Linked DNA regions of Cricetulus griseus. The protein of the gene in region 1 interacts with the protein of each later gene in a pairwise test. Links are inferred from orthologs where the notes say so. Each region holds a gene or a part of one and is shown in the gene's direction. Other genes may lie near its edges.

What was found.
Region 2: the proteins of Cdkn2d (region 1) and Nr4a1 interact in binary tests that used the Homo sapiens proteins (3 or more experiments, as listed by UniProt). The two-hybrid records come from large-scale screens. The link is inferred for Cricetulus griseus from reciprocal best matches to the Homo sapiens genes CDKN2D and NR4A1.

What each region holds. Positions count from the first base shown.
Region 1 is NC_048597.1:134,144,470-134,155,179, reverse strand, and holds Cdkn2d (cyclin-dependent kinase 4 inhibitor D), read left to right. Parts: upstream 1-5,595; 5' UTR 5,596-5,700; intron 5,701-5,761; exon of another isoform or gene 5,762-5,972; 5' UTR 5,973-5,987; coding exon 5,988-6,128; intron 6,129-7,596; coding exon 7,597-7,956; 3' UTR 7,957-8,483; downstream 8,484-10,710. Other genes in the region: Ap1m2 (AP-1 complex subunit mu-2), read left to right, coding at 798-923, 1,953-2,028, 2,527-2,549; protein KRI1 homolog, read left to right, coding at 8,996-9,089, 9,180-9,250. UniProt on the Homo sapiens protein: Interacts strongly with CDK4 and CDK6 and inhibits them.
Region 2 is NC_048595.1:397,681,583-397,692,114, forward strand, and holds the start of Nr4a1 (nuclear receptor subfamily 4 group A member 1), read left to right. Parts: upstream 1-5,087; 5' UTR 5,088-5,199; intron 5,200-5,337; exon of another isoform or gene 5,338-6,181; 5' UTR 6,182-6,468; intron 6,469-10,532. UniProt on the Homo sapiens protein: Orphan nuclear receptor. Binds the NGFI-B response element (NBRE) 5'-AAAGGTCA-3'. Binds 9-cis-retinoic acid outside of its ligand-binding (NR LBD) domain.

The sequences.
Region 1 (10,710 bases):
TATTTTCCCTGTGTATAGTGTGTGCACCGTGTGTGTGCCTTGTGCTTACAGAAGTCAGAGAAGGCATTCGATTCTCTGGCACTGGAATTGAGCTTGCTGCTGCCTTGTGGATTCTGGAAACCTAACTTGGGTCCTCTGGCAGAGCAGCAAGTGTTCTTCCCCACTGAGCCATCTCCAGCCCAATCCTTTAGTTTTTTGAGACAAGGTCTCATGTGACTCAAGCTCTTCTCTAATCCCCTATATAGCCAAGAAAGGATTTGAACTCCTGGTCTTCCCCCTACCTCCATGTGCTGGGATTACAGGTGCCATCACGCCTGGTTTTTTGTGGTTCTGGGGATAGAACAAGAGCTGTGTGCTAGGCAAGCACTATACCAACTGAGTCACAGTTGTGCCCCAGCGTTAGTGATTCATGCGTACATGCCGCTGTGGGAGTGAAACCTAGGGCTTTGAACAGCCTGCTAGTGTTCTACCACTATTCTTAAATTCTGGCCCTTGGCTTCTTGACACAAGGTCTCACTCAGTAACCCAGACTGGCCTTGAACTTGTAATCGTTGATACTCCTGCTTTGGTTTCCAAAGTAGCTGGAACTATGGCCATCTGCAATGGAACCCAGCCACTGGGGATTTGATCTGTGTTCCTCCAGACTAAGAGACAAGAGTTAGGCTTTTCCTATGGGTCTTAGTGAGCACTCTTGACTTTAAAGTCTGAATGGTCAGGTCTCTATGGAGCCTGCTGTGAGGGTGGTCTGAGAGACAGAGGGGGACTACCCAGAGAGTGACGCCTCTGTGTGTCCACAGGGGGGCAAGGAGTACTTGATGCGTGCCCACTTTGGGCTCCCTAGCGTGGAAACTGAGGAGGTGGAGGGCCGGCCACCCATCGGGGTCAAGTTTGAGATTCCATACTTTACCGTTTCTGGCATCCAGGTGAGAAACAAGGGTAGGGAGGTTCCCTACTTTCCTCCCTCTTGGCCTCAATCACCTCTCATCTTACATCTTATTTTTTCATTTGAGCTTTTATTTGTTTTATGTGTATTAGTATTTTGACTGCATATTTATCTGTATACCATGTGTGTGAAGATGGTGTCACAGCCCCTAGACCTGGAGTTACAGAGTATTGCTATCTACCATATAAGTGCTGGGAATCTAATGCAGGTCCTCTGGAAGAGCAGCCAGAGATCTGAGCCATCTCCAGCCCACTTTTTTGAGACAGGGCCTCACTGTAGCCAGGCTGACCTGGATCTCACTATGTAGACCAGGCTGTCATTAAACCAACATGCCTCTGCTTCCCAAGTGCTGAGATTGGAGGCATGCACCGCCACACAGGCATTTTTATTTTGTTTGTAACCCAAGCTAGCTAAGGAATCACTGAGTGCAGACAGGTCTTGAACTCACTACACAACCCAGGCTGGCCTTAAACTTATGACATCCTTCTGTCTAAATTCACAAGATCTAGGAAAGTCACACGTCCACATGCCAAGTTCTCCATTTCTTTGTCTTCTGCCTGGGAATGTGGCCTCTTCTCTTCTCAGGCTGAGGCTCTTCCCTCTCCACCACTCACATTGGCACCTGCTGTCGGGGTATTCTCCATTCTCTTGCCCTGTCCCCACTCTGTCCTGTATCTTCCCTCTGTACTTCCTTTTTCCTACTAGCCTGGATCACTTCCTCTTTGCACATGTCATGCCCAGAGACTCCCAGCTTGTGTTATTTTGTATCCTTAAGTGTGTCCTGCATGTTTTCTCTTCACACGGTTTGTCACTTTCCTTCTGCCTCTAGTCACCTCCCCCTCCTAATATCCCCCTTCCCCCATAATGGGATTGAACCCAGGGACTGGACATGCTAGGTAGGGACTCTCCCATGGGTCATACCCCAGTTCCTCACAGGTGACTCCAGAAGGAAGCACTACTGCTGAGCTGCCTCCCTAATCCTTGGCCACTCCTTTTTATTGCCTTCCAGGTCCGTTACATGAAGATCATTGAGAAAAGTGGATACCAGGCCCTGCCCTGGGTCCGCTACATCACCCAGAGTGGGGGTAAGAGCCGGGCTCTCTGAAACAGTGAGCTTAAGGAGATGGGGGACACGGGGACTGATGACTTTGATGCTATGTTTCAACAGTACTAAAGCATGCTTAGCCCCAAAGCAGACCCTTACCATGCTTCCTTGGGCTTCAGCTTATACATCTTTAGAATGGGGTGGTTGGCCTGCTCCAAGGTGATGATAAGGTCTGAACAGGATACTGATCTCCATATGCTGCCTGGATATGGGCGTGCTGACCAGAGGGAGGTGTCTGTGTGGAAGCCATCTTGATCTAAGCACGGCAATAGGATAGAAACCAGGGCTTTACACCTGATAGGTAGGAACTATCATTCAGCCACCCCATGACCCAAGCCTGTAAGCCCTAAGCATAGTAAAATATTTCCAAGGGTGATTTTATGTGTTAGGACCCAGGATAGATTTTGTGAGTGTTGGAGGACTCTCTCTTTCCCCTTTCTCAATTCTCAGATAATCCCTGCTCATTTTTTTTCTGCAGATTATCAACTTCGTACCAGCTAGAAGGGAGAAGAAGTGGGGGTTAGATGTGTGTGTGTGTGTGTGTGTGTGTGTGTGTGTGTGTGTGTGTGTGTGTATTCATGCTGCAACAACCCCCTGTACCTCTCACCCGTCTAGATTGGTTTCTCTGTGTCCCCCACCCTTGAGCTCTCCCATCCTGGTTTTATATGAAGAAATAAGAGGGTCTGAGCTGCCCTCCCCATCCATGAGTGCCTTCTTGAAATGATCTGCCTTGGGCTAGCTCTAGGGCTCTTTTATACCTGCTGAGCCAAGGCCCTGCTGGCCCTCTATCTGAGTTTTAGGGTGTCATTAAAATAAATCTAACAGCTGTGAATGTGCTTCTTGACTATGGACTGGGAATGACCATACCTGCTTAGATGGGCGTGTCCATTTTTTCCACCCCAGGTCCTCTGCACCCTCCCCTTTATTCCCTGTCACTCTGATCCCCTCAGTAGATACTGGGAGGTTGCTGTAAAACCTGTCAGGTGGTGGCACCTTTAGTCCCAGCACTCAGAAGGCAGAGGCAGGCAGATCTCTGTGAGTTCCAGCCCAGCCTGGTCTACAAGAGCTACACAGAGAAACCCTGTTTGGGGTTGGGGGGAATCTGTCAGTACATTATTGCCCTGCTTAAATGGTGCCCTTCCCATCTAGTTAAAAGTAAAAAGTTACTGCAGTCCCAGGTTTGGTCTGCACATCACTCCACCTCCCCACCTTCCTGCTCTTCCTCTTAACTTTTCCACATCATTCCAGATGCTTTTGACCCTGAGGGCCTTTACACAAATGCAGTGACCCTTCAGTCAGCCTGGTTACTATTGTATAATACTTTTGATTTGTTTTTTGTTTTTTTTTTGTTTTTTTTGTTTGTTTGTTTTGTTTTGTTTTTTGTTTTTGAGACAGGGTTTCTCTGTGTAATAGTCCCGGCTGTTGTAGAACTTGAATTGTAGACCAGCCTGGCCTCAAACTCACAGAGATCCGCTTGCCTCTGCCTCCTGAGTGCTGGGATTAAAGGTCTGCAACACCAATGCCCAGCTGCAATGGACTGCTTAACCTGAGCTAGAACTTTTCTAGGTTCTTTTCTCACCACCTATGCTTTTTTTTTCTTCTTTTAAATTATCTTCTTTTTTTTTCCAAGAAAGGGTTTCTCTGTAGCTTTGGAGCCTGTCCTGCTGTCCTGGAACTTGCTCTGTAGATCAGGCTGGCCTTGAACTAACAGATCCTCCTGTCTCTGCCTCCCAAATGCTGTGATTAAAGGAGAACAACACCACGCCCAGCTACAGTTTCTAACTTTAGTCTATTTCAGTGTGTGGTGCTTAATGTCCAAAATTAAGCCAGGCATGGTGGTATATACCTGTAATCCAGCAATCAAGAGGTAAAGGCAGGATTAGGAGTTTGAGGTTAATCTAGATTTAGTAACTTTGAGGCCAGCTTACGCTGAGAACTTGTCTCAATAAAAATTGGGTTTTTTTTTGTTTGTTTGTTTATTTTTTGAGACAGGGTTTCTCTGTGTAGCTTTGGAGCCTATCCTGGCATTCCTCTGGAGACCAGGATGGCCTTGAACTCACAGAGATCCGCCTGCCTCTGCCTCCCTAGTGCTGGGATTAAAGGCGTGCGTCACCAACGCCCGGCTCTCAATAAAAATTGTTAAGGGGCTGTGACTATAGATCAGTTAGTCATTGCTGAGCACCCATGAAGCCCTGGGTTCCACCCCCAGCACTGCATGGACTGAGTCTGTAATAGCACTTGGGAGTGGCATTCAGGAGGCTTGTGTATAATCCTTAGCTACATAAGGAATTGGAGGCCAGCCTGGGCTACGTGATACCCTTTTTAAAAAATTAAAAGAAAATTGCAGAGCTGGAGAGATGGCTCAGCGGTTAAGAGAATTGGCTGCTCTTCCAAAAGATGTGGTTTTAATTCCCAGCACCCACGTAGCAGCTCACAACTGTCTGTAACTCCAGTTTGAGGAGATCCAACATCTTCACACAGCTATACATGAAGGCAAAACACCAATGCACATAAGAAAGAAAGAAAGAAAGAAAGAAAGAAAGAAAGAAAGAAAGAAAAGAATTGCCAGGTGTACTGGTACACACCGTCAATCCCCTGCATTTAGGAAAGTCAGGCAGATCTGTTTGTGTTCAAGGCCAGCCTGGTCTACATAGTGAGTTCTAAGACAGCCAGAGTTACATAGTAAGATCCTATCTCAAAACACTTAAAAAAAGAAAATCATGTGAATATGTGGGTGTTTGTCTATTATGTAATATGTGCAGATGTCAAGAGCGTTGGATCCCTTGGAGCTGGAGTTATGTATAACTGAGAGCTGTGACCTGGATGTTGGAAACTGAATTCTTGATTCTCTACAAGGACGTCAAATGCTCTTGGCCGCTGAGCCATCTTGCAGCTCCAAGACCCTTTCTTTAAAAACAAAAAATAAAAAAACTAGAGCCCCCTCCTTTAATCCCAGCATGGATGGTAGAGGCAGGTGGCTATCTGAGTTTGAAGCCAGACAGATCTACACAGTTCCAGGCCAGCCAAGGCTACACAGTGAGACCCTGTCTCAGAAATTTAAAGCAAACAAAAATCGTTAGACAGCGCGCACTTGACCGCCCAGCGTCCATCCCTTTAACCCAGCAGTCGAATGAATGAACTAAGTTCCCAGTTGCATAGTAAGAGAGCTAAATGAATAGAACGAACGTTCGAGTTCTGGGAGCTTCCAACCCTCCCTCCATTCCTCCTGGAGGCGCTAAAGACCCAAGATCAGCCTGCGCCAGCCAACCCCTCTCCCGGGATCAGTTAAGTCTTCCCTCTCTTTCCCGCCCGGCCGCCCGCCAGTCGGGTTTGAAAAACCAAACCCCCTGCGGTGGCGGGCAGCCACACCGGTTGCCGCCCGCTGGCCAATCACGAGATGCACCACCTCTCTGGGCGAGACAAACCTTCCCAGTAACGCACGATGATTGGCTGAGGTCGCCGGTAGGCGGGACGCATGGAGGTCGGGTGCTGGGCACACCGGCTCCCGCTACTCTGTAGCGAGTTTGTAAGAAAACAAGGGCGCTGTGGGGCGGGGCCTGTGGCGCGCTAGCTCCGCCCACTGGAGGCTGTCTAGGGAGGCGGCGAGCGCCGGCTCAGAGCAGACCCCGCCTGCGCCAGCGGAGGAGGGAGGGTGAGTCTGGGGAGACCCGGCCCAAGGGGCGGGTGCCCAAGGGTTGGGCGGGGTTCCCTGCGGCCTCTCACGGTGACAGGGGGAGGAGCCGGGTGCGAGAGCCGGGGTCGTGCGGGACCGAGGGCCAAGGGTCTGCGGCAGGGGAGTAGCCGTAGAGTAGGCCCCAGTGTCGCCACAGCCCCAGGGAAAGGAAGCCCTCGTGTTCCGATCCAGCCCTTGCTGGTTCCACAGCCTTGACCTGGACTGGGCTTGGGGCTGGGTGGGTTTCACAGACCACCCGCGTCACGATGCTCCTGGAAGAAGTCCGCGTCGGCGACCGGCTGAGTGGCGCAGCGGCCCGTGGCGACGTGCAAGAGGTGCGCCGCCTTCTGCACCGGGAGCTGGTGCATCCTGACGCTCTGAACCGCTTTGGCAAGACGGCCTTGCAGGTGAGGCCTGTCTGACACCCGGCGCCCACACCCCATCCTTCCTTGTCTCCTGACCCGGCTTGGTGATCCCCTTGAGGACCATTCCTTGTTTGCACCAATGTTGGGTGGGGTAATGCGGGGGGGGGGCACGGGGAGAGGATGACTTTTCAGCTCTAAAGAATCCCTTGTCTTCAAGCCTAAAAGATTCAGTTTTGCTGCAGACTTTTATTCCGTGGGTGGGTTGTGGTTCAGCTTCTTTTCATTCCAGTCTTTGCGGACAGCTCAAATTTTGGGAGGGCCTCTAAGAAGGCATTCGATCTCAGGAAGGTAGGATGCTCCTCCAAGGGATAGAGCTATTTTTTGTAGGAGTCCTTTTTAAGGGTCTCTGGTTATTTGGGGGTGGGGGAAGTCTTCATTTCTGAAAGTGATGTGGATTTTTTTTTTTAATCTTCTGAGTGCCCCAGTTACAAAAAAAAAAAAAAAAAAAAAAAAAACCTATTGCTTGACGGCCCCATAATTTGGGGTGGACTTTGTACAGGGTCCCACTTTTTCATGGGTGCACATATATTCTGAACATCATGCCTATGTCTAAACTTTTCCCTAGCAGGGTGTTGGTGGCACACTCCTTTAATCCCAACACTAGGGAGGCAGAGGCAGAGGTAGAGGCAGGAGGATCTCTGTGAGTTTGACACCAGCCTGGTCTACAAGAGCTAGTTCCAGGACAACCTCCAAAGCCACAGAGAAACCCTGTCTCGAAAAAAATAAATAAATAAAAAAACAAAAAAACACACAAAAAAATTTTTTCCCTAGAGAAAGGGGATCCAAATTCTCTAGAGCATTTTTTTTTCTCAAAAATTCTAAGTAGTTCTCAGAAAACAAGGTTGCATTGTCTGGAGGGGTTTAACAGCTCTAGTGATCTCCCATATGGGGGTGCCCTGTCCCTGAGGGAGGCTCTTGGATCCTTGAGAGTTTTCACCCTCCCTTCCTGTCCTTCCTTTCCCCATTCCCTTCATTCTCTTTCTTCTTCATTACTTTTTTATTTATGAGACAAGGTCTCACTCTGTATCAGGCTGGCCTTAAATTTGAGGCTATCTTTCTGGCTCGTCCTCCCAAGTGCAGGGATTACAGGAGTGGTCACTATGCCTGGCCCCTTAAAGTTTTCATGAGAGTCACTTTTGGAGTTAGAGTCTTTTGTATTGGTAAATGATCTCTCTTTCTCTCTCTCTCTCTCTCTCTCTCTCTCTCTCTCTCTCTCTCTCTCTCTCTCTGTGTGTGTGTGTGTGTGTGTGTGTGTGTGTGTATGGTCCTTATTTCCAAAGAACCTGTTTTCTGGGGTCCCAAGCAGCTCCCTGGGGGCCTGTCTCTCTTGGGGTGTCCCTGTTCATTAAAGGGCCCCTTCACTGGCACTCTGGATTTCTGGTAGACCTCTCTTTCTGCTTGACCACTTTCCAGTGGGAACCTCCTGACTTTCTGTTCCCCACCCCCATAGGTCATGATGTTTGGAAGTCCAGCAGTTGCTCTGGAACTCCTAAAGCAAGGTGCTAGCCCCAATGTCCAAGATGCCTCTGGTACCAGTCCAGTGCATGATGCAGCTCGCACTGGGTTCCTGGACACCTTGAAGGTCCTGGTGGAGCATGGCGCTGATGTCAATGCCCTGGACGGCACCGGGTCACTCCCCATCCATCTGGCAATAAAAGAGGGCCATAGCTCTGTGGTCAGCTTCCTGGCTCCCGAATCTGACCTCCATCACAGGGACACTTCGGGTCTCACCCCCCTGGAGTTGGCCCAGCAGAGAGGAGATCAGAACCTTATGGACATCCTGCAGAGACACATGGTGATCCCAATGTGACCCAGGGCCGCTGTCTCCAGCCAAGGAGCCTCACTGGGTTACAAGTCAACAGAGAAGAAAAGAAACTTTCGCTCTTTATTCCCATCCATTGAAGAAGGGAGTGGGAGGAGCATTTTGTGGTTTATTGGTGTTGGTTTCTTGAGTGAGTGTGTTTGGGGGACTTTCTCATGTGTTTTTCTCACCCCGTTTGGTGTGTTGGACAGAGCAGGGGCTCCTACAGGCAACAGCCGCCTAAACGGTTCAGTTTTCCCTGCACCTGGCCGCAGAGACCTCAGGGCAGAGGTTTAAAGCCCTAGCCTCAGAGTGAGGTCATCGTCTCCTGAGCTCCTGGAAGCTGGTGACCTTGGAAGGCTGTGCTCAGAGAGCCCTAAGTGTGAGCCACCTACTTTGGGCATGGGAGGGAGAGGGGAAAACGTTTCGAATCAGTTAAAAAGATAGTGTGGGTTAATTTTTTTCTTGGAAGCTTGTTTTCCAGTCTGTTGTACAGAGTTTGAAATATATATATATTTATTGCTTTATGGAAAGAAATTGTTTTGTGTGATCATTTAATGTTTTGGCTCATTAAGCTAAGACTTAGGCATGACGACGGTGAGGGTGACTTCTGATTTGGTTCCAGGACGTGGGTGGGATGAAACTGGGGGATGGCGTGGTTGTGGGAGCTGTGGGGTGAAGGGGCGACATGGTCATTCCCAGGGCGTCCGGGTAACTGAGCTGGGTGGGGCAGCGGTCGGGTGCTGTCAGAACGGAAGGGAGGCAGGAAACCGCGAGTGGAGAAAGGGGCCCCCAGATGTCAGCTGGGTGCCGGGAGGCGGCTGGGTGGAGAAGGGTGGGCGGTGGCTTGTGGCCTTTCCCCGCAGAGGCTTGGCCCGTGGCTGCGGCCTGCCGAGCAAAAAAAGGCCAACCGGGTCCCGGAAGGGTCGGGGGTGGGGCCAGGCGAGTCGTAGGGGACCTGCTCCTTTAAGAGACGCTCTCGCTGGGCGTGCCTAGAGGCGGTCACGCGGGAGGGGCGCGCGCGTGCGCTCTAGGCCTCCCGGGCGCCATGCCGGAACCGCACGGGTCTGCCTCCCTGCGGGTGAACGCCGCGTTTGCCGCTCGCTACAGTCGTTACCGCGAGCGTGAGGAGCTGCAGCGGCGTGAGTGAGGGGAGCCTGCGCAGGCCGGGCGGGGGGGCTGGGGGCGCCTCTGGTGAGGGTGGCTGTGAGGAGCTCGTGTGTACCCCACAGTGAAGGATCGCTATGGGGATCCGGACGGCAGCGACTCCAGCTCCGAGTCCGACTCCAGCGACGAGCATGTGGTAAGTAAGCTTCCGCGACCAGGCTCCCCATCTTACCCAGGCGTAGTTGGGGTGCTCCCTAACCCGGCAAGTTTGTCCCGGAGTCTTCAAGTCCTGCCCCCATCCTTTGAATGACAGGCATCCCCCCCAATCCAGGGATCGCAAAATGCACCCTTCTTTCCGGCAGAGACCTCAAGCCTCCCATCCACTGAGCCCCTCACCTGAGTGCCCTGGGATGCCTTACCCTAAGGGGATAGGTCTAGATTTATCCCTTAACACCTTGAGTGACAGCTCCATCCCAGTGGTCGCTAAATCTTCCCACTTTCCTAACTTGGCCTCAAGCCTCCACAGCACCCTTACTCAGATACACAGCAGAGTCAGATCCTAACCCCCTCGGGCCCCATAGGCACATCCCAGGACCTGCACCCTTGAGTAACGAGCAGCATTCTCCTGTAGCTAGGAACTGGCGCATCCTCCCTCCTTCCCACAAGGGTAGAGCACCTTACCTTAATCACGTAGGCCCCTATAGGAACATTAGGGCCCACACCCCAGTCCCTTGAGTTACTAGCAATACACTCCCCATGTCTAGGAGACGCTAAATCCTCACTACTTGACTCCAGACCGCCCACCAATTTGCAGAAGGAATCTTTCCCTAACCCAGTAGAGCCCTAAGGTAGTTCTGAAAGGTTCAGGCATTATGCTGGCCTGCCCCTGTTACCTGGTGGAATCCACTCAGGCAATACCCTGGTCAGCCCAAGGTTCCATGGGAAAGAAGTCTGCACGCAGGTGCAGAGGACCCCTTTAAAAGATAGGCCCCTGCACCTTTCTCTCTCTCTCTCTCTCTCTCTCTCTCTGCCCCTTTACGCTCGCGCTCTCTCTCTCTCCCCCCCTGTTCCTGCTCTCTGTCCCCTCTCTCTGTTTCCCCGCTCTGTCTCTCTATGGCGACCGGCCATGGCAGTCAGCCATTACCCTGTTACTCTTCTTATATGTCTGTCTCAGCAATATTTCTCTTTTCTTCTTTTTAAACAAAAGAATAACAAGTTCCAAGACACCTCCCCCATCCCTTAGGAGACAGACAATGCCCTGCCCTTCCCTGGGGGTCGTCATAACCCCTCTGCTTTATGAACACCTTGTCCTCCATCAGCACAGATTGAACCCACTACCCTGATTAGTGGTCCAACCATTCTGTCCCTAGGAACCACCCTTCCCATTCCTAAAATCCAGAATCTGTCATTGTAGTGCCTCTTAGACCACGTGGGGCACTACTGTCTTCCCACAGCAGCTCTAATGTTGGCTTCATCATGTGTAGCCCGGGCCTTCTGGTGGTCCACCCAAGAGCACTCTAGGGGCACCTGCTCAGTTGCCTACCTCCTTTCCCTGCTCCTCTTCCTTTACCCTATCAAGTTCCTGCCCTCTGGCCACACCTGCCCAGGCCCAGAGCTTCTCTTCATCTGCACGCTTTGTCCCCCCCACACACACAC
Region 2 (10,532 bases), on another chromosome or scaffold:
CCCCTCTTTGATGCTATTGGCACATCTGGGCACTCTGCTCTCCTGGGTCTTCCGCCAAGGCCTCTTGAGTGAAGAGGAAGGGGAGCCTAAGAAACCGGGTGAAGAGATCTCTATCCTAGTAGGGGCAGGCAGAGGCTTAGGCTGCAGAATCCCAGAGCTGTTCCATGCCATTCACCATAGACCACTGTGTCACTGCTGTGCTGACCCCTCCTCAGACACAAGGAGGTACCCACACACTCTTATGCCCACTGGAGAGGGTAGAGCCAAACACAGCCTCAGGGGACCAGTCACTAAGCCTTTTCCCTTAGCGATCCATGGCTGGACTTTTTATTAAAGACCACCAGGTCTTATTATGTTCAAGGTGAGTTGGATTTCATTCCCAGTACCAAAAAACCATGATTATGATCACCCATATCTGATTCTTTTAGTATCTTCCAGGCCTGGTGATATATCCCAGTTACTCATGAAGCTAAGGCAGGGGCATTGGAATCTAAGGCTGGCCTGGGCTGCAGAGAAAGTTCTATACCAGTCTCCAGAACCAGTATAGACTCCATTCCCAAATGGAAAATAAAGAAAGAGACTGGGGATATAGCTGAGAGGTAGAGCAATAGGCTAGAATGTGAGCAACCCTGGATTTAACCCCCAGGGCCACAGAATAAATAAATAAGGCTGGGGGTATAGCTCCTCAGGGAGAGGGCAGGCCTCTCTCCCATCTCCTGCATCCGCCCACTCCCAGACCCTGTTCCTGCTCAGAACTGTTCAGTAGTCTGTACCTTCCTTGGGAGTTTAGAGGTCCTGGATTTTCAGTGTACTGACACGGCCCCACAGGTTCCCTAAGGGGAACCACCACACTGCCTGCACGGGAAGGACGTGGAAGGATGTAGGCCTCTGGCACTCTCCTGAGGGGCCTGTCAGCAGTAACCAGAGCTGGCTCCACGGCTCAGAGCAGTAGGAACACCATTTCTTGGCAACCCAGGACAGCACAGAGATCCAGTTAATCACCTTTGCCAGCAGGTCAGTCTTCCCACAGCCTCCAGAGTGCCCCTTGCTGGTCAGAGCCATGAATCGTTTCTACCCCAGTGTCGTCTGAACTAGACACTCTTTCCCCCATGTCTCTTTTTTCTGTTTCCTTAAAAAAAAAAAAAAAGTGTATGTGTGTGGGGGTGTGGGGGTGTTTTGCGCCTGAGGTGGTGGCTAGTTTTTATGTCAACTTGACACAGGCTAGAGTCATTTGGGAAGAAGAAACCTTAATTGAGAAAATACTCCTACCAGATTGGTCTATAGGCAAGCCTGTGGCACATTTTCTTAATTAGTGATAGATGGGGGAGGGCAGTGTTTTGTGGGAGATGCCACCCCTGGTGGGGGTAGTTCTGAGTTCCATAAAAAAGCAGGATGAGTAAGCCATGAGGAGCAATCCAGTAAGCACCACTTCTCCACGGCCTCTCCTTCAACTCCCGCTTCTAGGTTCCTCCCCAAGTTGCTTTTGATCACAGTGTTTCCTCACAGCAATAGAAACTCTAACTAAGACAGTCTGGATGTGTGTACATGCAATTTATGCAGAGGCTGCTGAATTCTTTGGAATTGAATGTACACACAGTCATGAGCTGCCATGCAGGTGCGGGAATTGAACCTTGGTCCTTTGGAAGAACAGCCAGTGCTCTTAATGACTGAACTTCCTCTGCAATCATCCAGAGGTCTTGTTTTTATAACATGGTGACACCTATAGAGCAAGTATTACTTTTTTTTTCTTTTTGGCCCCAGCTCTGTAGTAAGACATGGAAGTCAGAAGTAACCGACTCAGCTTCCTCTCTAGGAGGCAACAGCAGCCACAGTTGCCTGTGAGGCCCCAGGGGCTCGTATGTGAACCCTGCCCTGTTACTTCTCAGGGTGTGACAGCCTTTTGGGGCCATGGTTTCTTAAATACCAAAGCAGTGCTCACCTTATAGTGCCAGTGAAAGATAGAAAGCAAGGAAAGCTGTCAGTACTGCACCTGGCACAATCCTGCATGGTCCAGCAGGATTTCCTCCCTGGGTAGCTCTCTCACTATTTCCCTCTCTTTCCACCATGCTCTGGTCATTTGGCTTATTCAGTGTCTTTAAGGAACTAGAATCTGTCCCGCCTCTGGCTTTCCCATGTCCTGTTTCCTCTGGTTGGAATCAGACAAAGTCCCCTCTGTTTAAAAATTGCTTCAGGCTGGACATGGTGACCTTTAATCCCAGCACTTGGAAGGCAGAAGCAGGTGGCTCTCTGTGAGACTGAGGCCAGCCAAGGCTACATAGAGATTCTGTCTCAGAAACAAACAAACAAACAACTGCTTCGCTAGAGGAACACTTTTGTATCCCTCTCTAAATAATAACTTGCAGTTAAATAACTTGACCTCCCATATTTTCTTTTTTTATTATTGCCATAGTTAGTTTTAATGTGCCAACCTGTGATATGGGAGGTCCTTCTGTATGCTGCAAATATGCGTTGATAAATAAAGCTGATTTGACCAATGGCCAGGAAAAATATAGCTAGGCGGGAAATCCAAACAGAGTTATGGAGAAAAAGATGGCAGAGTCAGGGAGATGCCATGTAGCCACTGTAGGAATAATATGCCAGAACATTACCAGTAAGCCACAGCTTTGTGGTCATACACAGATTAATAGAAATGGGTTAATTTATAAGAGAGAGCTAGCCAGTAATATGTCTGAGCCATTGGCCAAACAATTATATTTAATATTAAGTAAGCCTCAGAGTATTTCTTCATAAGTGGATTTGGGGACCCAGAGGGCAGGAGAGAAACAAGTCCAGTGGGATGGGGTGAAGCAGAAAAAAAATCCAACTACAAACCTGATCAGAGGCTAAGGCATTGCCAGATAGCTAGTGAAACATTATTTCTGGGTGTGCAAGAGGATGTTTTTGGAAGGTAACAGCATTTGAATGGTTAGACTGGGTCAAAATTGCCTTCAGTGGGCTGGTGAGATGGCTCAGCCAGTGAAGGTGTGACCACACAAGTCTGGGACCTGAGTCCAATTCCTGGAATCAATGTAAAAAGATGGACGGGTAGCACACATCTGTAACCCCAGCACCCCACAGCAAGATGTGAGGTAGAAACAGGAGCAGCAGCCAGAAGCCTTCCAACTAGCTAGACTGGAGTATGCTGTATAGTGGCAGAAGCAAGAGAGATCCTGTCTCAACATGTGGATGAAGCGAGAAGCGACGGACTCTTTAAAGTTGTCCTCTGACCTCCACTTGTACTGTGACATGCACATGCCTGAACTTTCCCTCCTTACCTCCCTCTTCCTCCCATACACACCATATACATGCACACACTATAAACAATAAATAAAAGATTTAAAAAGATAGCATTCAGCAAGCAGATACTTGATCCACGGAGAGCCTGAACAGAGCAGAAATGTGCAGGGGAACAGGAGCTCACTCTCATCGTGAGCTCAGGCATTCACGTTCCACAGGAAGCTCCTGGTCCTCCACTCACACTGGGATGTTCTCTGTTCTCTGTTCTGGCTTCCCTAGGCTTCCTGTGTGCATACAGCAGATTTGGGCATTCTTGGTTCCCCAATTTCCCGAGACATTTCTCTACATTTCTATAGTCAGAGATTCCCTGCTATCCATTGGGGATATCCTAGGACTCCCCCAGGATGCCAGGATATGAGGGGTTAAATTCCTTATGTAAAAGAGTGTGACATTCGCATGTACCACATACACATTCTCCCCTATAATTATTTAGGGTTTAAGACAGTCTTACTGTATGGCCCAGGTTGGCTTCATATTCAAGATCCTCTTTTCCCTGCCTCCCGAGAGCTGGGATTACAAAACACCACACCTGGCTCTTCTTTATACTTTAAAGCTCCGCGAACTGATAATGTCTAGTGTGATAAGTATTATGTGAATTATTGTAATACTCAATTATTTAGGGTATAGTGACAGGGGGAAAAAACCTCTGTATAACAGGTGTAGTTTTATCTTGTTTTCCCACCTCTGGGACTATGAGGCTACTGATAGCTGATTATGTGCTACGGCATCTGCTTTTCTGGAGAAGCCTGAGCGATAAAACGACACTCATTGGCTACTTACAAAATTGTTGGACACCAGGCTCCTAAACTGAGCTCTGACTACATCCTGGGTGGAAAAGAGTCTCTTTTTTGTTCTCTGTGGTGTCTTCTCACAGGGCTTTGCCCTGAGCATTCCCGGAAGCATGTTCCACCTTTCTGTACCTCGTCATCTCTCATTTCTTTCTTCTCCCTTCTTCCAAGTTGTGGTACTTTTGGCTGTTTTGCTTTAAAAAAAATACAAACTTTAAAATCTTATTTTATATGTGTGAGAGTTTTGCCTGCTTATATATGTATGTGCACCACGTACATGCCTGAGGTTCAAGAGGGCGTTGGAGCTCGTGGACTGGAATCCAGAAGGGTTGTGAGGACCCAAAACCCATGTCCTCTTCAAGAGCAGCCAGCGCTTTCGACAGCTGAGCCGTTTCTCCAGCCCTTCTGTTTTGCTTTTCTTCGAGGCAGGGTTTCTTGTAAGCTCAGGCTGGCCAGCTCTCAAATGCTGATTATCACAGACTTGTTTGTGCTACCACGCCCAGCAATTAACTTCATTTTTGCACCAGGGCTTGTTTGGGTCTAACGGAAAAGGGCCTAAGAATTGAGGGCATTCACCTTTAATCGCACTCCGTGCCTCTCGGGAGTGGCTGGAACAGATTTGGATGCCAAGTCTCCAAACCAACCCAGCTGCAAATTTCCACACACCCTCACCCACCCGCCTTATCCCCGGGCCAGGCCACCCCCACCCGGGCAATGACGTCTATTTGCAGACACTGTAGCCAAAGGAAGCGTTGGCTCGACGACGATTTGCTATTGGCTGGGAGGGTGGCGCGGCAGCCAATGGCTGGCAGCGGTGTTTACAGCGCGGCTTGGGTGATGTAATGGAATCCTGGCTGGCCCGGCGGGCTCCCAGCGGACAGCGTGGTGACGTAGCGGCTTCCCCGGCCGCGCCCGGCTCGCCTGGCCTGGTGCGGACGGATGGGGGGCATGGCCTTACCCCGGCTAGGCGCTGCCACGGGGACCGCCACGTTCCTTCCGGCTCGGTGTTCCGGTAGCGGGTCCCGGGGAGGAGGGCTCGGACCAGATCCGGTCTCGGGCGAGGTGACAAATCTGGAACCTGACACCGGAGGATGACCGAGCTCCTGCTCCTCTGGTAGTGCAATTACGGACTTCTCACGTTGTCAGTTATGCAGCTCTGCAACCTTTGCTTGACGGGAGGGAGTTTGATTTTGAAACTCCTAAGGTTGCAGAGGATTCTGGTGTGTTTTTAATCAAGAGCCCTGGCTTTGATTTGTGGGAAATCTTGCGTTAACTTCCTCCATTTCCGGCCTGGTGACCTGGGCCACTTTCTCATGTTGGCCCAGATGATACTCAGTGGCAACAACAACAACAACAAAAGGACAACAAATGTGGAAACACTTGATGAAGCGCCTGAAAGGAAGATGCTCTTTGGTCCCATCCTATTCCAGTGCTACTGCTTCTTTTTTTACGGCTTTTTAAAAAAATATTTTACTTTATTTTTTGTTTTGTTTTTCGACACAGGGTTTCACTGTGTAGCCCTGGCTGTCCTGAAACTCACTCTGTAGATAAGGCTGGCCTTTTACTCACAGAGATCTGCCTGCCAGTGGTCTTCTTGAACCCAGGGATAGCCCCTGGGAAACCCTCTCTATGTGTCCCCATTTTTTTTTTTTTTTTTTTGTCCTTGAGTGTATGCTTAAACCTGGGAAGAGGTGGGGGCACCCCAGCCAAGTAGTTCTTGATCCTAAGGCTGAGGAAGGGCCCTGTAAAGGGAAATCCCCTTTCCAGTCCCTGGCGAATTCTGGGTGAGACCTAGGCAGGGGAGTCCCTTTTGGGCCCAGCAGATTAGTTAACCCCTCTACATCCTCTCCATCAGGCAGGGAGGAAGTGAGGTGCTGACTCCCCAGCTCTGGGCAGCTGAATCCAGGCCATCAGATGTGGTAGATGGCCTTGTTCCTTGTGGCTCACCATGGCTTATTGTTTTTCCACCCTTGGGACTGTCATCCTATCCCTGTCTCATACCTTGAAATTTGTGACAGCCTAACCTCCATGGGGTGGTTCTTTCTCCATTTCTATTCTGTCTTTTTCATACTGTACCCCACATTCTCTTCCTCCAGGGTGGCCCTGGGATTGAGCCCCTACTCACTCCTTAGCGCCATGTCATCTGGAGCTCCTACCTATACTGTACAGTAGAATCAGCTCTTGGTTGCAGGGCTTTGCCTTCCTGTCTTGGGAACTCTCTAGAATGTAGGTCAGTACTGGTGAAGACTGTGCTCGTCCTTACCTGCTCCAGGAGGTCAAACCTTACAAACCAGTGAGTGGTCCACCTGCTTCTTGGCTCTCCAGTCTACAGGAGCAGCTGGGAAATGGCAGAAAGGCGATGGCAAGAATGAGGGACACCACGGTGAGTAGAGAGTACTCTCTGAGAATTAGAAAACCAGGCTGTGGTGGGCTGCGTGGCCACTGACTAGCTGAGGAAGGCAGTTAAAGGAACCACAGTGGGGCTGTTTGTGGGGTATCTATTATAACAGTAAGAGGTCACATTGCCCTTTCCCTCAAATAAACATCAACTGGATTGAGTTAGGCCAGGCACTTTGCAGGAACAGCTCCAAGGCAAGAATCATAGACCTGGCTTTTCCTCAGGTCTCCCTGAATGGAAATGGTAGATTTGTCACTGCCTGCTACCTTCATGTCTGCTATCAAAGGCACTGTCTTCATGATGGTGCTATGGAGCAGGTATGTTACCATGCTTGTGTCTCCAAGGAGGAAACAGGAGCTCAGAGCAGGCTAGTCACTCCTTTGAAGTCCCACATCTGGAGAAAGCTGGAAGCTGGTGGGCCAGAGAGTCCTGCTCCTGAGGAAGAGCAAGGAGAGCTAAGTCTGAGTGCCTTTTGTGTCCAGGGGGTACCCTCCGTGTCCAGGGAGTACCCTCCGTGTCCAGGGGGTACCCCTCCATGTCCAGGGGGTACTATTTGTATCCAGAGGGTGCCCTCTTTGTCCAAGGTTCCTCCATAGCTGTTCATCTCTTAGCGACCTGTGTGTCTATCACATGCCAATTGGATCTTATCCACCTCTGCCATCTCAGCCAGTCTCTTCAAGCTGTCCAAGAGTGTTAGCATTTCACATTTTTCTATCTGCTTTATTTCATTATTATAATAGAGTAGATAATTGAGGCAGGTTGGGGTAGGAGTATTTATAGAGAGACTGCTGTGGGCTGGAAGCCTCCATGGAAAAACTGCTAACAGCATTTTTTTTTCCATTCCTGTCTGAATAAATGTATTTCTCCTACACTGGCAAATATTTTAGAATGTATTTTCAAAAAGACTTGTGGAAAAATAAAAAGAGGGAGCAGAGGATCGCCTTCTTTCCAAAGCTGCTGGAAAAGAGCTGCTAGGGCGGGGGGAAGTCAGCCTGAGGCCCCCTCATTCCTGGCCACTGTTGTGCCTTGGTTCCTTTGTCTACAAATGGATATACTGTTGAGTATGGGAAAGAACAGAACTGATTCTGGGATTTTGAGGTAAACCACAGATTCTAGGGTTGGCTAGAAGCAGGAGAAAAAGGGGCTGTGGGGTTGCCAGAGAGTAGGGCCTGTCAAGAAGGATTTCAGGCAGGGGGAGAGAAGATTGTGACTATGGGAGTGAGCTCTGGAGTTTGGGAGCCTCCTGAGGAAACCTCTGAATGCAGAAGGGATTCTTGACCACGTGGTTCCTGGTTGGCAGCTTGTAGAATGGGCACAAAGCAGGATCCTTCAGGATGGATTCTCACTCCCAAATGGGTCCCCCTAGTCACCACCCATTTAAGCAGGGACAGAGACACAAAGCCACCCCTTGGCTACCCTTGGGTTGGCCTTTTTGGCCTGAGGCTTTGCTGTTAACAGTTTCCTCCAAGATTGAAACATTTCCTCTGGTAGAGTCTGGGAAACGACTGGAAATAGCTTCAGGAAGTCCCTGAAACTGACCAGACTCACTTGGCCCCTCCCTGCCAGAGTAAACAATAAGAGCTGAGACTCTTATGCTGAGCTCCCAGGAAGAGTGTCAAAGGAGCTGAGCTGCAAGATAACTCAGACCAGCCAGTTGTCTGGAAGAAACAGAAATCGTAAGTCAAATCTGCCTGGAAAAGGTTTAGACCAACTGAGGCACCTGGAGAGGACACTCTACAACCCCTTGAGCTAACTGTGCAGTGTGCTCCAGCTTCCCAGCTTTGTGAGCTGTCATCCATGTAGGGTAGACTTTGGTGACACAGCTATCTTTGAGTTTTTTCTGCTCCTGTACGTAACCCCACATCCATAATCCTGTAAGTAACCACAATAAAACTCATTCATTTGCCAAGTTGGGCTTCGGTGGTATCTGTTCTTTGGTCTGCTTGGGATACCTGCTTGGTAAGTAGCCTTGTGTATTGTGTCTCCCTAGGAAAAGTTTTGTCACACAATGTAATTGACACCTGAACATGGACATGTCGGAAACGAATATGATTTGGAGAGGAGTGACTGTGTGGTTCTGGCTATGGGTAGTCAGGCACACAGCTGAGGCTGAGAAGCCTGATGGGGGAGCGTTCGCCAGGAAAATTCCCATAGAGTCATCCTTTCCTCTGTGTGTTAGTGTGCCTCTGTGCTATGACAGCGGTTGCATAGTTCTTGCTCTGGATAGTGAGACATGCAGCTAAGGCTGAGCCATCAGGATTAGGAGTGTCTGTGGGAGGAATTGCAGCATTCGCCTGTGTGGTGTGGGTGGCATGCCTGCTTGATGAGCCGGGGTCCACCACGTGAATATGGAGGTGCCCTGAGAAAGTTAAAGGTTAGGGGGAAATATTGTAGTCTTTGAGATTAGCATCCAAGAGTCGAGACTGTCGGTAAGCAGTGGCAGAGGTTGTATATGTAGTTAGAAATGTGTCTGAAGGGGAGACAGTGGCCAAGCAGGAGCTGGTTTGTGTAATAATCTTATTGCAAATGCAATAAGAAAGGGAGGTGTGGCTACCATCCTTCCTGTTAGCCTCAGATTTGGCAACTAAATTAGATAAACAAGAGGATGAGATAAAAGTGATAAAAGCAATGAAAGATTCCCTTCAAGCCCAACCTTTTATAGAAAACGAGGGGAAATCTGTGTGTAATCCAGCATGCAGGGCGTTAACCATGGTCCAATGCAAGAAACTAGTGTGAGCAAGAAATACTCGATCCTTGAGCTTCTGGAATTAGAGAAGACTTCTGAACAAGCAGTGGAAGAGCCTGTCTCAAGCTGGCTTGAGAAGTTATGGGACATGGGAGTGGGTGGGATCAGTTGAGGCAGGAAGATTGAGTGATATAACTTCCCATCCCTCCTTAAGGCCAAGGCTGTATGACCTGCCACAGTGTGCAGGAAATGAGTCCCTGATGGACTGACTTATCAGAATCATTAGGAGCACTTGGTTATCTTGCTCTGAAGTCTCCACAAATATCAGGGGCTGGAGGACCATAGAGGAAGGGCAGACACTATTGAGGTCACTAGGAATAAGAGAAGTCATGTTGGAACCCAGGTTCCTGGGCTAGATAGAACTGTGTTCACAGAGGAGTTAAAAGGCTGACCCAGCAGGGACCTTGAGGCTGGTTTGGACCTCTAGTGGCTTTGCTGAGCCCTTTGGTGGGGCAAGATCTTCATAAAGTAGAACAGGCTTTGACAGACCCCAGTGACTTAGACTAGTGTGTAAGAGAATTTGTAAAGTGAGACAGCAATATAGAGGAGGCAGTAGAAGAGCAAGGTGGGGGGAAAGGGCTGGCTGCATTACTCAGAAAATGTGGTAAGATTTGTGTCAAGCTGGAGTTCTTAAGGAAAACGTGTGCTGAGGGACTTCTGGATGGCTGTAAAGCCTGAGGAGCACACTATGATGGAACAATATAGGTGACAATGATCAAGACTGTCCCAAGGCTGAGTAACAACCTCCCCCCCACACACACACTAAGGAGAGTACAGTTTCCCCCAGCAAAAGGTTATACTAGGGGTAGAGATGGTTTGCCCAGTCAGGAAGTTCCCCAACAGCCAGGTGTGGTGTATGGAAAGTCAACAGCTACAGCAGCATCCACAGTGCCAACCCAGGCAACTCTGTCCTATGGAGCTAGCAAGAGCAGCTGGCAGAGCATGGCCTTCACTTGGCCCTGAGTAGGTATGAGAAAGTTAAGCCAGGCCCAGTGAGTTTAGGGAGGCTCATGGAAGAGCTCCAGCATATGGAAATATAATGGCTCAGAGAGAATGATTAAGGATTACAGGGAGTTAATTAAGTCAGTGCCTCCTATCCATGCTTCGTACCCAACCTTGATCTGTGGAAGAAGCAACTGATAGAAATGGATGGAATCTTCCCATGCTGTGTTAGACCTTGCTTCTGTTTGGCTTTTTTAGTATCTTAGTTGTGAACCTCTGGGCTCACTTGACAGTGAGAACAGGTGACAACAGACTTTCAGAGTGCATTGCCAAGGCTATCTTTGTAACCCCGCACATACTT